3 linked regions of the Struthio camelus genome follow. The protein of the gene in region 1 purifies or fractionates together with the protein of each later gene. This does not show direct contact. Links are inferred from orthologs where the notes say so. Each region holds a gene or a part of one and is shown on either strand. Other genes may lie near its edges. The genes, in order: ZC3H18, FUS and nuclear cap-binding protein subunit 1.

Region 1 (3,822 bases):
AGAGCATGGCCTAAGTCAAGCCACAAAGATGGATGAAGAATGATGGGCGGGTTTGAGGGGAAAGAATGAGAAATAGGGCTGACAGGACAAGCTAAAAAAGAAACAGAGCACAAAAACATTTGTGGGACAGAAGTGGAAAACAGAAGCAAACCAGAAATGAATGGAGGGAATCACAATGGGGAAAACGTGGAAGAGCAGCAACAACAGGAAGAGAAGGAAATAAGATGCATCACAATCTAGAAAAGGAACATCATGTAAAGCCGAAAGGATGCGTAGAACAAAAGCAGAGCACCCAGGTCTTTGTTCTGAATGAAACTCTGATTGTTAACAGGATTAATTAAAATAGAATACATACCTATCTGACATCCTTAGAGGAGCACCGACTTTGAAGATGCATAACAAACTTCAATTTTCTAGCAGCTGTCAGAAAACCTTTTAATGCAGAAAACTAAGCTGCCTCTCAGTACTAATTTGAGAGAACTACTTGGTGACAGCCATTTTCAGCTTTTTTTTTTTTTTTTTTTTTTAAGAAGAGCTTACAGAGGTCTGATCCAGAATTTTAACACCAAACACCATACTAGTGCTAGTCAACTGCTTTGTGTCAGGCAGGCTTTAAGACTGATACCTGAACATGAACAAAAATGAAGCTGTAAATAGCTGAAGTTTGTTTTCACAGTGTAATGGATTCTCCTGTTACTAGGACATGCATCACTCTTTCTGCAGCTCCACACTGAACATTAACTTTGAATTACAGGAGCCTCATTCCCATGAGAAAAAATAAGTGCAATTGTTCCTGCATTCTGTAGGATTCATAAATAATCACGCTCTGGAGTCTCATTCCACTCAGAACATTGGATGAGATGGCTTGCAAGGAATTGACTTGATTAGGAAGAGACCTTGACCTTTTTCCTTAACCTAGACAAACCTTAAGAAGATCAGGAGAAAGAATCACACCTTGCAGATGCTGCTCTTGCTACGGCCAAAACAGCGCTGTTAATGGCCGTGTCAGAAAAGCTGAATTACTGATGGCAATAAAATAAAAAATTGTTAGTGCACATCCCAAAAAGAACAGCTCTGAAGAAGAGAGAGCTCTGTTGAAGAAACTCATAGAATTTAAACCACCCGCAGCAGCCACATTTTGGAACACTTACAAAAGTGACCAGAGCTCTGAGCAGAGAGAGCCTTACAGCTGCTGTTTCGCTGCACAGGCGAGACCAACAGGCATTGCACGGGTGCGCAGCACACAGACCACCCTGTCGACCCAGAGGACTGGGCAGCGCGACTTCCCCATCCCGTGGCAGTCAGCGAGGACGCTCCTGACCCATCAGAGAAAGCACCCGAATGCGTGGCCGCTGCAGCGCCCCAGTCCTTCTCCACCCCCTTGCCCCCAGCTCCCCTGGGGCCTCCCTTACCTCACAGGGCCTCCTGCCAGGCTGAGGTCTTTCTGGAGCTCTCCCTGCTCCCACCTGCCTGCGAAGGGAGACAGTCAGCCCTTCCTGTACCTGGTGGCCAGGCTGCACACTCCCCCCCCCGCCAAACTAGGACTCTTCCCCCTCAACACCCCCCCCACCCAAATCCTCCCGCAAACTACAGGCTGTGCCCCCCAGCCTTCCCATCTGGGGGGTGCCCCCCATCCTAGCAGTCCCCCCCCAACTAGGGCTGTCCCCCATCACCCCACCTCCAGCCATTGCTGCCCCTCCCTCTCAGCACCCCCCACCAGGGCTGCCCCCCAACCCTTCCTCACCACCACACAGCTGAGCTGACCCCCCCCCCAACATCACCCCCACTTAGGCTAGATCCTTCCCAGGGCCCCCCACCTGGGCTGCCCCCCCCTTCCCTAAGCTCCCCCCATCCCAGGGCCCCCTCCCACTGGGCTGCCCCCCCCAACACCACCCCCACCTGGGCTGACCCCCCATCCCAGGACCCCCTCCCACTGGGCTGACCCCTCCCCCCAAACACCATCCCCATCGGGGCTGACCCCCCATCCCAGGACCCCCTCCCCAAATACACGGCCCCCCCCCCTTCCCAGCGCCCCCCGCCCGGGGCCGCCCCTCCCCCGCTTCCCCGGCGCCCGGGCCCGCCCCCCCTCGCGGGCGCTAGGCCGCGGCCGGCGCCCGCGGAGCGCGGCCAGGCGGGCAGCGGCTCACCTGGGCGGGCGGAGCGGGGCGGGCCGGAGCCGGAGCCGAGGCCGGAGCCGGGAGCCGGGGCGAGAAGGACGGCGGCGGGCGGCGGCGGGGAAGCGGCTCCGGCGCGGGGCGCGGGACGGGCCGGGGCCTCTACTCGCGGCGGCGCAGGGCGGCCATGGCGTGACGTCATCCGGGCGCGACGGCCTTCGCGCCGGGGAGGGGGGGGGCGGGCGCGCTCGTCCTGCTCGCGCGCACGCGCGCACGCGCACGCGCGCCGCCACCGCCCCGCCCGCGCCTTAAAGGGGACGCGCGCTTCGGCGGCCCCGCGTGGGTGGGGCGCTGGCGGCGGGGTGGTGGTCGGGGGGGGGGGGACACGCGCGTGTGCGGGCAGGTGCACGTGCAGGCGCGCGCGCCCGGGGTAGTGGGGGGCTCGCCTGCACGCACACGCGTGGAGGAGTCCACATGCACGCGTGCGCACGTGGCGGGTGCAGACGGGTGCAGGTGGGGAGGGGGGGGTGCACGAACACCCAGGCGGGGGGGTTCCCGCAGGCAGGCGGGGGGGGTGGGAGGCATGCAAGCGGAGCGAGCACCTGCATGCACACGCCGGGAGGGGCGCACGCGTGCGCGAAGGCGGGGGCTCGACACGCGTGTCCGCGGGCGCGCAGCCGTGCAGGTGCGCTCGCCGAGCTAGGCGCGCCTGTGAACGTGCAGTCAGACCCCTGCGTGCACGCAGACGTGTGCGCGCGCACGCTAAGGCAGACCTAAACGCGTGCACGCCCGGAGCTGGGCGTATAGGTGTTCTTGGGAGCATACATGCAGGTGGTGGTGCGCACCTGGACCTACAGGTGCACACGTGCACGTGGAGGACGTATGGACGTGCACGCAGAAGCATGCCGGCACACGTGCAGGCGACGGCTCCCGGCAGCGGCGCAGCCCGCCTGGCCCTGGGAGCACCTCCCCGTGGCGCTGCGGCCGGGCCCGGCCCCCCGAGGACGGAGCGGGCAGTCCCCCCAGCCGGGCAGCGGCCAGGCCCTCTGCACCGAGCCCTCCGCAGGGGCTGCTGCCCGCGCCGGGGCCGGCAACGCCCCGGAGGGCGGCAGCCCGCAGGGAACCTGCCCAGCGCGCCGGCGGCAGAGCGCCAGGACGCAGCACCGTGCCGGGCTTGCTGGGAGCAGCTCGGCGCCTCGGGGGTGCTCCAGAGCAGCAGGGACGGCGGTTCGGGGCTGGGGGCCGGGCACGCGCTCCTGGGGCCAGCGTCTCCACCGGGCCACGGACTGTGGCCGGGCCGCTCGCCTTCGCCTCCGGCCGCCTCAGGCTCGGGCTGCGCTTTTGCAACCCCGCCGCGCCGAGCCCGTCGGCCCTTCCCAAGGGAGCCAGCTGTCTGCTGCCCGCTCTCCTGGCTCGCAGACCCGGCGTGGCCTCGGACGGCGCAGGGCAGCCGTCCCGGATGCTCTTGCCTCATGCAAGCAGGGGCTGAGCCAGGGCCGTGGGGCCCGCGGCAGCCCAACCGCACTAGCAGCCAGCGGAGAATCCCCTGGGGCGAGCGTGCTGGGAAGCCAGGCTCCGTGGAGCCGGCAGCGCAGGGTGCTCGCTCAGCGTGGGCTGCTGGGGTGCTTGCTGGGGCAGCCCAGAGGATGCTCCCTCTCCCTGGGGCGCTTCCAGGGTGCTTGCTCGGGGTGGGCTGGAGGGTGCTCAC
Region 2 (3,822 bases), on another chromosome or scaffold:
CTGGGGGTCACCGTTGTCTTCCTCGGGGTCCTGTCCTTCCTCCTCGGGGTCACCATCCTCCTCCTCGGGGTCCTGTCCTTCCTCCCTGGGGGTCACCGTCGTCTTCCTCGGGGTCCCGTCCTTCCTCCTCGGGGTCCCGTCCTTCCTCCTCGGGGTTGGCCCTATAGGAGCCCCTGGAGACCCCCCCACTGGCCCTATACGACCCCCATAGGCCCCTTGCCCAGCGCCAGGCCCTATACAACCCCCCCAGCTCCCCCCACCGCTCCCTAGGTGGGGCCGGCCCCTATAGACCGCCGCGGGCTCCCTACCCCGTGCTGGACCCTATAGAGCTCCGTACGCGGCACCGGACCCTATAGGGGCCCCGTAGGCTCCCGGGGCTGTTTTTAGCCCTGACATTTGGGGGCGGCCAAATCCTGGGAGGGAAGGGGTGGGTGGGGGGTCTATATGGGGCAGATCTATAGGGGGAGTCTATAGGGGGCCCCGCCAACGCCATGGGGGGGCCGTCCCCCGCCCAGGGCGGCGTTTTACGCCCGAGAAAGGCGTTTTTGGGGGCTTTTTGTGCCCTTCCCGACGGCACCTGGCGCCCCTGGAGACCCCCCAGTGGGGGTCAAGCCTATAGGGGCCCGTGGAGAGGGCTGAACCCTATAGGGGCCCGTGGAGACCCCCCGGGGGGAGGCTGCATGTGGAGGCCGCTATAGGGCAGGAGCTCCTTATAGGGCACAGAGTCCCTATAGGGCAGGGGCTCCCTATAGGGCAGGCACCGCTATAGGGCAGGAGCTCCCTATGGGGCACAGACTCCCTATAGGGCAGGGCCCCTATAGGGCAGGGGCTCCCTATAGGGCACAGACTCCCTATAGGGCAGGAGCTCCCTATAGGGCACAGACTCCCTATAGGGCAGGGGTTCCATATAGGGCAGGGCCCCTATGGGGCAGGGGCTCCCTATATGGCACAGAGTCCCTATAGGGCAGGAGGTCCCTATAGGGCAGGGCCCCTATGGGGCAGGCACCGCTATAGGGCACAGGCTCCCTATGGGGCAGGCACTGCTATAGGGCACAGGCTCCCTATGGGGCAGGGGCTCCCTATGGGGCAGGGGTTCCCTATGGGGCAGGGGCTCCCTATAGGGTCTCCATGGGGGGGGCAGGGCTGGCCGTAGGGTCCCCGCGGAGCTGGGGGGCGGTTCCTGGGGACCCCCTATAGGCCCCTTATAGCCCCTCCCCATAGGCTCCCTATAGGGCCCCCTACAGGCCCCCTATAGGCTGCTTGGGAGGGGGCGGGACCAGGCGCCTCCCCCCTCTCTCCCCCCCCCCGCCGCCGCCGCGAATGGTCTCGCCCCGCCTGCCCGGCCCCGCCCCTCCCTTCCCTCGGCGCGTTCCATCCCGCAGGGAGGGAGGGGGGGGGAGGGAGAAGGCGGAGGCGGTGCCGACCGGGGGGGGGGGGGAACCCGCTTGGCTCCCTCCTCCCCCTCCCCCCGAGCCCGCGCGTGGCGGTGGTACGGTCCGGCGGAAGCTATAAAAAGGCGGCGGGCGGCGGGCGGGGGCGCAGTGCGGGGCAGGGCGGGCGCGGGTGCGCCACGTGTGAGGGGAGGGGGGAGGAAAGGGGGGGAGCAAAGAAAGGGCGCCGGAGCAGCGCGACACCGCCATGGCCTCCAACGGTGAGGGGGGCCGCCGGTACCGGGAAGGGGGGGGATGTCCCTAGCTCGGCGCTCGCCGCCCCGTTTCCTCTTAATTTTACCTACGGGAGCGATAAGCGAGATAGAGATTTTTTTTTTTTAATCGTTATGGGGGGGGGGTGTTGCCCCCCCCACACGCTTTGCGAACCGCGCGGCCCCCAGGGTGGGATTGGGTTTTTTTTTAACGTTTAATCTCCTCATGCGTTGGCGGTGCGCGGGTTTTTTTGCAGCTTGTTGTGGGTGTTTTTTTTTTTTGGGGGGGGGTGATATAACGGGTAGTTCCCCCCCCCCCCCACCGCTTACGGAGCGGCACGGTGGTGCCGCCGGGGGTGTTGCTGGCGGCCCGGATGCGGGAAGCGGTGGCGGTGGGGAGGGAAAAATGAGCATAAGTGACTGAAAGAAGAGGGAAAAGGAAGGTTCTGGAAGGGAGGCGAAGCCTTTGAAGGCGGGGATGGGGGGGGAGGGAGGAGGGAGCCCTTTGGTTCCCGCGGCTGCCGGCCGCCATTTTGTGTGGCGCGGGGGCGGGGCGCCGCTTTTCCAACTGCGCCACTCGCGGGCGCCATTTTGTGCGTGGTGGCGGCGGGAGGGTGGGGGCGACGGCGCATGCGCGGCGGCGGCGGGAGAGGGGGGGACGCGCGGCGGAGCGCGCATGCGCGGCGGGAGAGGGGGCGCGACGCGGCGGCGCATGCGCGGCGGCGGGAGAGGGGGACGCGCGGCGGAGCGCGCATGCGCGGCGGCGGCGGGAGAGGGGGGCGCGACGCGGCGGCGCATGCGCGGCGGCGGGAGGGGGAGCGCGCATGCGCGGCGGTGGCTGCCGCAGTCCGACATCCGGGGACTTAAAAGTGTGTGTGTGTGGGGGGGGGGGGATAATATGAAGGTGCCCGAGGCGGGTAAATACCCGCCGCGGCCTGGGTGAATATTGCTGGGCTTATTGATGGGGGGGGGAATCGCTTCCTCTTGCGGTGTGGGGGAGGGGTAACGGTCCGCTCCCGACAAAGCGGAGAGAAATCAGCGCTTGTTGTCTTTGTTGGTGGGGAAACATCGTTTCTGGCGCTTTCGGGGGGGGGAAGACGGTGGTTTGGGGGCGTTGGTGGAGCTGGGCGCGCTTCGTTTGGTGTTTGGCGCCGTAACCGTAGCGCCCGTAACAAGTGAGGGGCTGGGCTGGGGAATAAACGCCACCTTCCAGGTTAGAGCGTGTCGGGGTGGGCAAACGGACCCCCCCCCCACCCCCAGGCTGGGTGCTTGTGCCCCCGGCTGCGCCCTGGGGGAGAGGGGTCGGCCTTCGTCCCCGCCGCTGGGGTTCTTCTCGGGGCTCCCAGCGTGCGGCTGAAGCCCTGGCTCGGGGGGAGGGTGGGAGCCGCCCCCCCCCCCGGCTCTGCTCGCGGCGGGTCCCCTTCCGGCCTTCCCCAGGGCCGGAGAGGCCTCAGACGCTCCCTGCCCGCCTCCCGAAACGCGGCGATCCCGGCGGGCGGGCGGGCGACGCGTCGCGCGAGCCGTGAGGAAACGGCGGCGACGCGATGGCGTGTCCCTTCCTCTTTCCTCTCGCAGATTACAGCCAGACGGCAACCCAGAGGTACGTCGCAGCTCGGGGCGTTGCGCGCGGGGCGGGGGAACGCGGCCGGGCCGCGGCCGGGCCGCGGCTCCTCCGGCGGCGTTTGCCGCCCCCGCGCTGGGCCTGACGGCGCCTTTCTCCCCTCCCTCGCTGGGCCGCCAGCTACGGGGCGTACCCCACCCCGCCGGGGCAGGGCTACTCGCAGCAGAGCAGCCAGCCCTACGGGCAGCAGAGCTACAGCGGTTACAGCCAGTCCACCGACACCTCGGGCTACGGGCAGAACAGCTACAGCTCCTCCTACGGCCAGACCCAAAGCAGTGAGTGTGGCCGGCGCCTGCCGGCCTTGCGGGGACGGGGCCCCTCCGCCGTGCCCGCAGGAGCTTTCCTTCCTCCTCCTCCTCCTCCTCTCTCCCAGCTGGCTACAGCACCCAGTCGACGCCGCAGGCCTACGGCACGAGCAGCGGCTACGGCGGCAGCCAGTCGTCGCAGACCTCCTACGGGCAGCCCTCCTCCTACCCCAGCTACTCGCAGCCGCCGGCGGCCAGCTCCTCCACCGGCAGGTAGCCGCCGGGCCGCGGGGGTTTCGGGGCGGGGGGCGACC
Region 3 (3,822 bases), on another chromosome or scaffold:
CACGTGACCAGTGACCCAACACACAAAGAAGTTTTGTTTCAGTGCTTTGCTAGGGAGAAGAAGGAGTGCTGCTAGCCAAGGAAGGAGCCTACTTCTGGCTACTTTGTCTCTCCACTACTAGATGGTGGGCTCATGGAGACAGGAGCACCTCAGCCCCAGAAAAGGGGAATAGGCAAAGTAGGAATACAGAGATAAGAACTGGCACTCAATCGATTTGGTATTTTTTTAGTGACTGTTGCATTCAGAAACAAGATACTACCCAGCATATTCCCCATGGCAGTCAGAAAGCAGCTCTGGGGTCTACTCTATCTGCTTATGACCTTGTGCACACATTTCAAGTGAGAGTACTGTACAGAGGCATTTTCCTTGATTTATATCTACTACTGACTAAGCTTCTTCTCAAATTTCTCTTGCCTGGAGTAAGACAAACCCTAAGCTATAACAGTGTTCAAGAACTAACAGCTCTTCACAGCATTTAAAGTACTTAAAATACTTAAACTTATCTATTTAATATAGATAACAGAGCATCTCACAAATCTCCTGCATACGTACACAGTACAAAGAATTCTCAAAATCTTGCTTTTATAGTTTGGTAGATCAGCTTCCAAGACACCAGCTAGGCCCTCCAAGTTGCTCTCCAGAGAGGAAGTACTCTAAGAAAGAAAACAGTGTTTCCGCATCAATCAGGCATATCAACTATCCCCTCAGTAACAACTGGAAGACAAGCAAATCAGATGAAACAAAATATTACTTCACATTTTCTTCTTGTTGGAAGTAATTATTCAAATCCATTAGGAATGCACAATCTCTCTCATTTGCTAGAAATAAGAAGTAGAAATGACTAAGAACAGTCTCAATTGTGAGTTCTCCACAGCAAGGAGCTCTAGTGCTTTCCTGGGAAGCAAGGGTTAACATAGCCTCAGAGATCTCTCAATAACTGAATTAAACATTATATTAATGACATCAGGGGAAGTGAAAGAACTTCACAGCTTGTATGTGGCTAAATTAATGTTAAGACCCATCATTTTTGTCCTCATCCTTTTTTCTCTCCACTTGTTACTAACACCAAACCCAGCCAGGTTCCAAGATCAGTTGTAACACGGCTAGACTTTTTTCTTTTTTTTTTTGTACGCATCTCATTGCTTTCAAATTTTCCAAGGAGTAGGGGGAAATTAATGATAATGTTCACAGATTTTGAATGATACCTCTTTATTAGTTATACTTCACCAATGTATCAAAGGTTTAACATTTAAGAATTTCCTTTTTAAAAATCCAGTTTTGCAAAGGCCAACAATTTTCCAGTTAAAAAGTTTCCAACTGATCTCAGATAAGGATTTTCTCTTTTTGGACCACTAGTGAACTACTAACACATAGCAGCATATAAAACAAAGAAAACAATCTATTATGTTTAAGGACCCTAAGCCACAAAACAACATGGAAATAGTACTGATACCTTTTCTCCCACCCTGCATATTAAAGATTCAAGTCTCTCCTCGATTTCAGATGGCTCAGATGTTCTCCTCCTTTTGTGAGGTTGCCCTGTTTCAATACATTAAATATGTTATTAGCTGCCTGCTTTTTAAAAAAGAAAAAAGTTCTCTATATACTTTTGCCATTCCAGCAACATACTATTAAAAACAAACAAACAAAAAACCCCAAAACTGACAAAGCATTCAAGATTGACCCAATAAACATGAAAAACAGAAGTATACCCATATTACTGATGACCTAGTCCATGAAGCATAAACAGTTAACATTGTAGCTATCTCAAATTTTATTTAGGGTTAATTCTGCATTTCTGCTACAGTGTGAGACAGTATATGTGGGATAAGCTAAACCCACATTAGAGTTACCAGCTATTTCATATTTCCTTAGTGCTTTTTCACATGCTTTCAGCATATGAAAAAATAAAATATTTTAAGAATCCTTGCTTATATTATTAGGGTTTTTTTGAAAGCTTAGAAAAAGACTGCACATCAAAACAATTAAGAAAAAAGAGTGTAGTTAAAAAACACATAGAGTGTTTTTTAGAGTGTTTATCTTTGCAATTAAAAGTTGAAAAAGCTGGTCATGAAACTGTCCCATTCTCCACTAATGCAGAATTACGTTATTAAAAGAAACATCCGTTTCAGTTTCTGAAGCCGTCTCTAGTCCTCCAATATGAATGTTTTCTGAACGTTTTTCATGAAAGCCTTTACAAGATACAAGAACATGTCCTTCTGGCGATCCGTACGCAGCGCAGCGTGCTCCGATCAGTTTGCTACTCCCTATATTTAGGGCGGACCCAAGAGACTGCTTAGGGACAGTCTGTAGCCCTAGTTACACAAGCCAGGTCCTTACACCAGAGCGCCCCACAGTGGCGCCAGGTTGTCCCCAGCCAAACAGCTAGGAAAGGCGGCCCAGGAACGATCCTGCACCCCATGGAGCGCCTCACTACAGCGTCCCGTAGGGCGACGAGCAGGACCAAGTCCTGGCAGAGGGACAGAGTGAATCCCTACCACCCCGAGTCTAAGGCAAGGCAGCGCCGCGGGGGGGGGAAGGAGGAGGAGGAGGAGGGGAAAAGGCACTTCAGCTGAGATCTGTTCCTCCCCCAGCCCCAAGGACGACGCGGCCCCAAGCACAGGGCATGCGGAGTCCAGACCCTGGTACTCCATCCATCCACGCTTACCATCACTCTCGTCACTGTGCCGCCGCCGTGACATATCAGCACTGCCACTGCACAAAATCTGCAGAGAAGCAGGAATACCGTACCCCACAGCAGGAGGCAAGAAGGAAGAGCACTATATAGAGACTATGCAACAAGGATCAGAGTATTTCCCTACTTCCTGTTTGCCTCAGTCTTCTTCCGGGGTAAAAGAGCAGGAGGAAAAGCTACTGTCTTCTCTTCTCCTGACTTCCGCAACTCTATGGGAGTGGGCGCTGCTCTACCTGCTTCTCCATAGTACTAGGAACTCGGATGATTTCTAAAATGGGGAAAAGAATAGACACAAAGTTAGTTAATTATCGATGAAGTGAAATTCACTTATTCCATCTGGCTCGCACCTAGCCTCTCTTGAAGGCTAAGACGGCCCACCATGCGTGTGAATTGCGCACTGTGGGCCCCACTCTTGGGCTGTCTTGCTGACGCCTGGTGGCATGTATATTACCTGAGCCGCTGGATCGAGAATGCTGCTGGGTCCCTCCCACGAAGCGTTTCCAGGGCGATGGAAAAGTGATGGATGCAGGGATTGGGGAGATGTGTGATTCTCCCTGCTGAGTGAGATGAGATCTCAGACGTGGTACTTTGGGGTGCAGTGCTAACACTGCACTAAGCTTAAGCTCCTTCCCCCTCCCCCCCGCTGGAGACTGGCCCCACGCATTGGTGAAAGCAGGCCAACAAGATCCAGGTACAGCCGTATGCATCCCTGCTGTCCCTCTACAATCAAATGGCTGGAGAGACCACGTGCCCCTTTCTTCAGCCCCCATGTCATCCCCCAGGGGCATGGGAGAGCCCTGCAAGTACAGGGAGGGGTACCTCCTTGCTGCCTCCAGGAGGGGGCACCTGAGAGGTGGTGCCACGTCGGGCAGCCGAGGACTGTTGGCCACTGGAGAGGCTGTGTGAGGCCGGAGTTGTGATTCAAATGTAACGCTTAGTTGTCCCGAGGATGGGGAACAGGCACTGCTGACCTGTCATCAACTTGTGTTCCTGCACACCTTGATTATGCAACACATCAGAGCATTGCTTCCCTCCTGCCACCCTAAAGTAAATGGGGTACATTTCTCCAAGGCTGCTGCCTGGGATTAGCTGATTCTAAGGGAATGTGTGCCTCAGACTGGCTGGGA

The links.
Region 2: the proteins of ZC3H18 (region 1) and FUS purify together in Homo sapiens (affinity purification with mass spectrometry; 3 studies listed by BioGRID and IntAct, with this or other methods). This does not show direct contact. The link is inferred for Struthio camelus from reciprocal best matches to the Homo sapiens genes ZC3H18 and FUS.
Region 3: the proteins of ZC3H18 (region 1) and nuclear cap-binding protein subunit 1 purify together in Homo sapiens (co-immunoprecipitation; 3 studies listed by BioGRID and IntAct, with this or other methods). This does not show direct contact. The link is inferred for Struthio camelus from reciprocal best matches to the Homo sapiens genes ZC3H18 and NCBP1.

The regions. Positions count from the first base shown.
Region 1 is NC_090951.1:2,519,007-2,522,828, forward strand, and holds the start of ZC3H18 (zinc finger CCCH domain-containing protein 18), read right to left. Parts: upstream 2,337-3,822; 5' UTR 2,148-2,336; intron 1,471-2,147; 5' UTR 1,413-1,470; intron 1,360-1,412; exon of another isoform or gene 1-1,359.
Region 2 is NC_090973.1:351,578-355,399, reverse strand, and holds the start of FUS (RNA-binding protein FUS), read left to right. Parts: upstream 1-1,522; 5' UTR 1,523-1,638; coding exon 1,639-1,651; intron 1,652-3,217; coding exon 3,218-3,242; intron 3,243-3,383; coding exon 3,384-3,538; intron 3,539-3,636; coding exon 3,637-3,781; intron 3,782-3,822. UniProt on the Homo sapiens protein: DNA/RNA-binding protein that plays a role in various cellular processes such as transcription regulation, RNA splicing, RNA transport, DNA repair and damage response. Binds to ssRNA containing the consensus sequence 5'-AGGUAA-3'.
Region 3 is NC_090981.1:12,386,277-12,390,098, reverse strand, and holds the start of nuclear cap-binding protein subunit 1, read right to left. Parts: upstream 2,858-3,822; 5' UTR 2,703-2,857; coding exon 2,669-2,702; intron 1,540-2,668; coding exon 1,454-1,539; intron 654-1,453; coding exon 553-653; intron 1-552. UniProt on the Homo sapiens protein: Component of the cap-binding complex (CBC), which binds cotranscriptionally to the 5'-cap of pre-mRNAs and is involved in various processes such as pre-mRNA splicing, translation regulation, nonsense-mediated mRNA decay, RNA-mediated gene silencing (RNAi) by microRNAs (miRNAs) and mRNA export.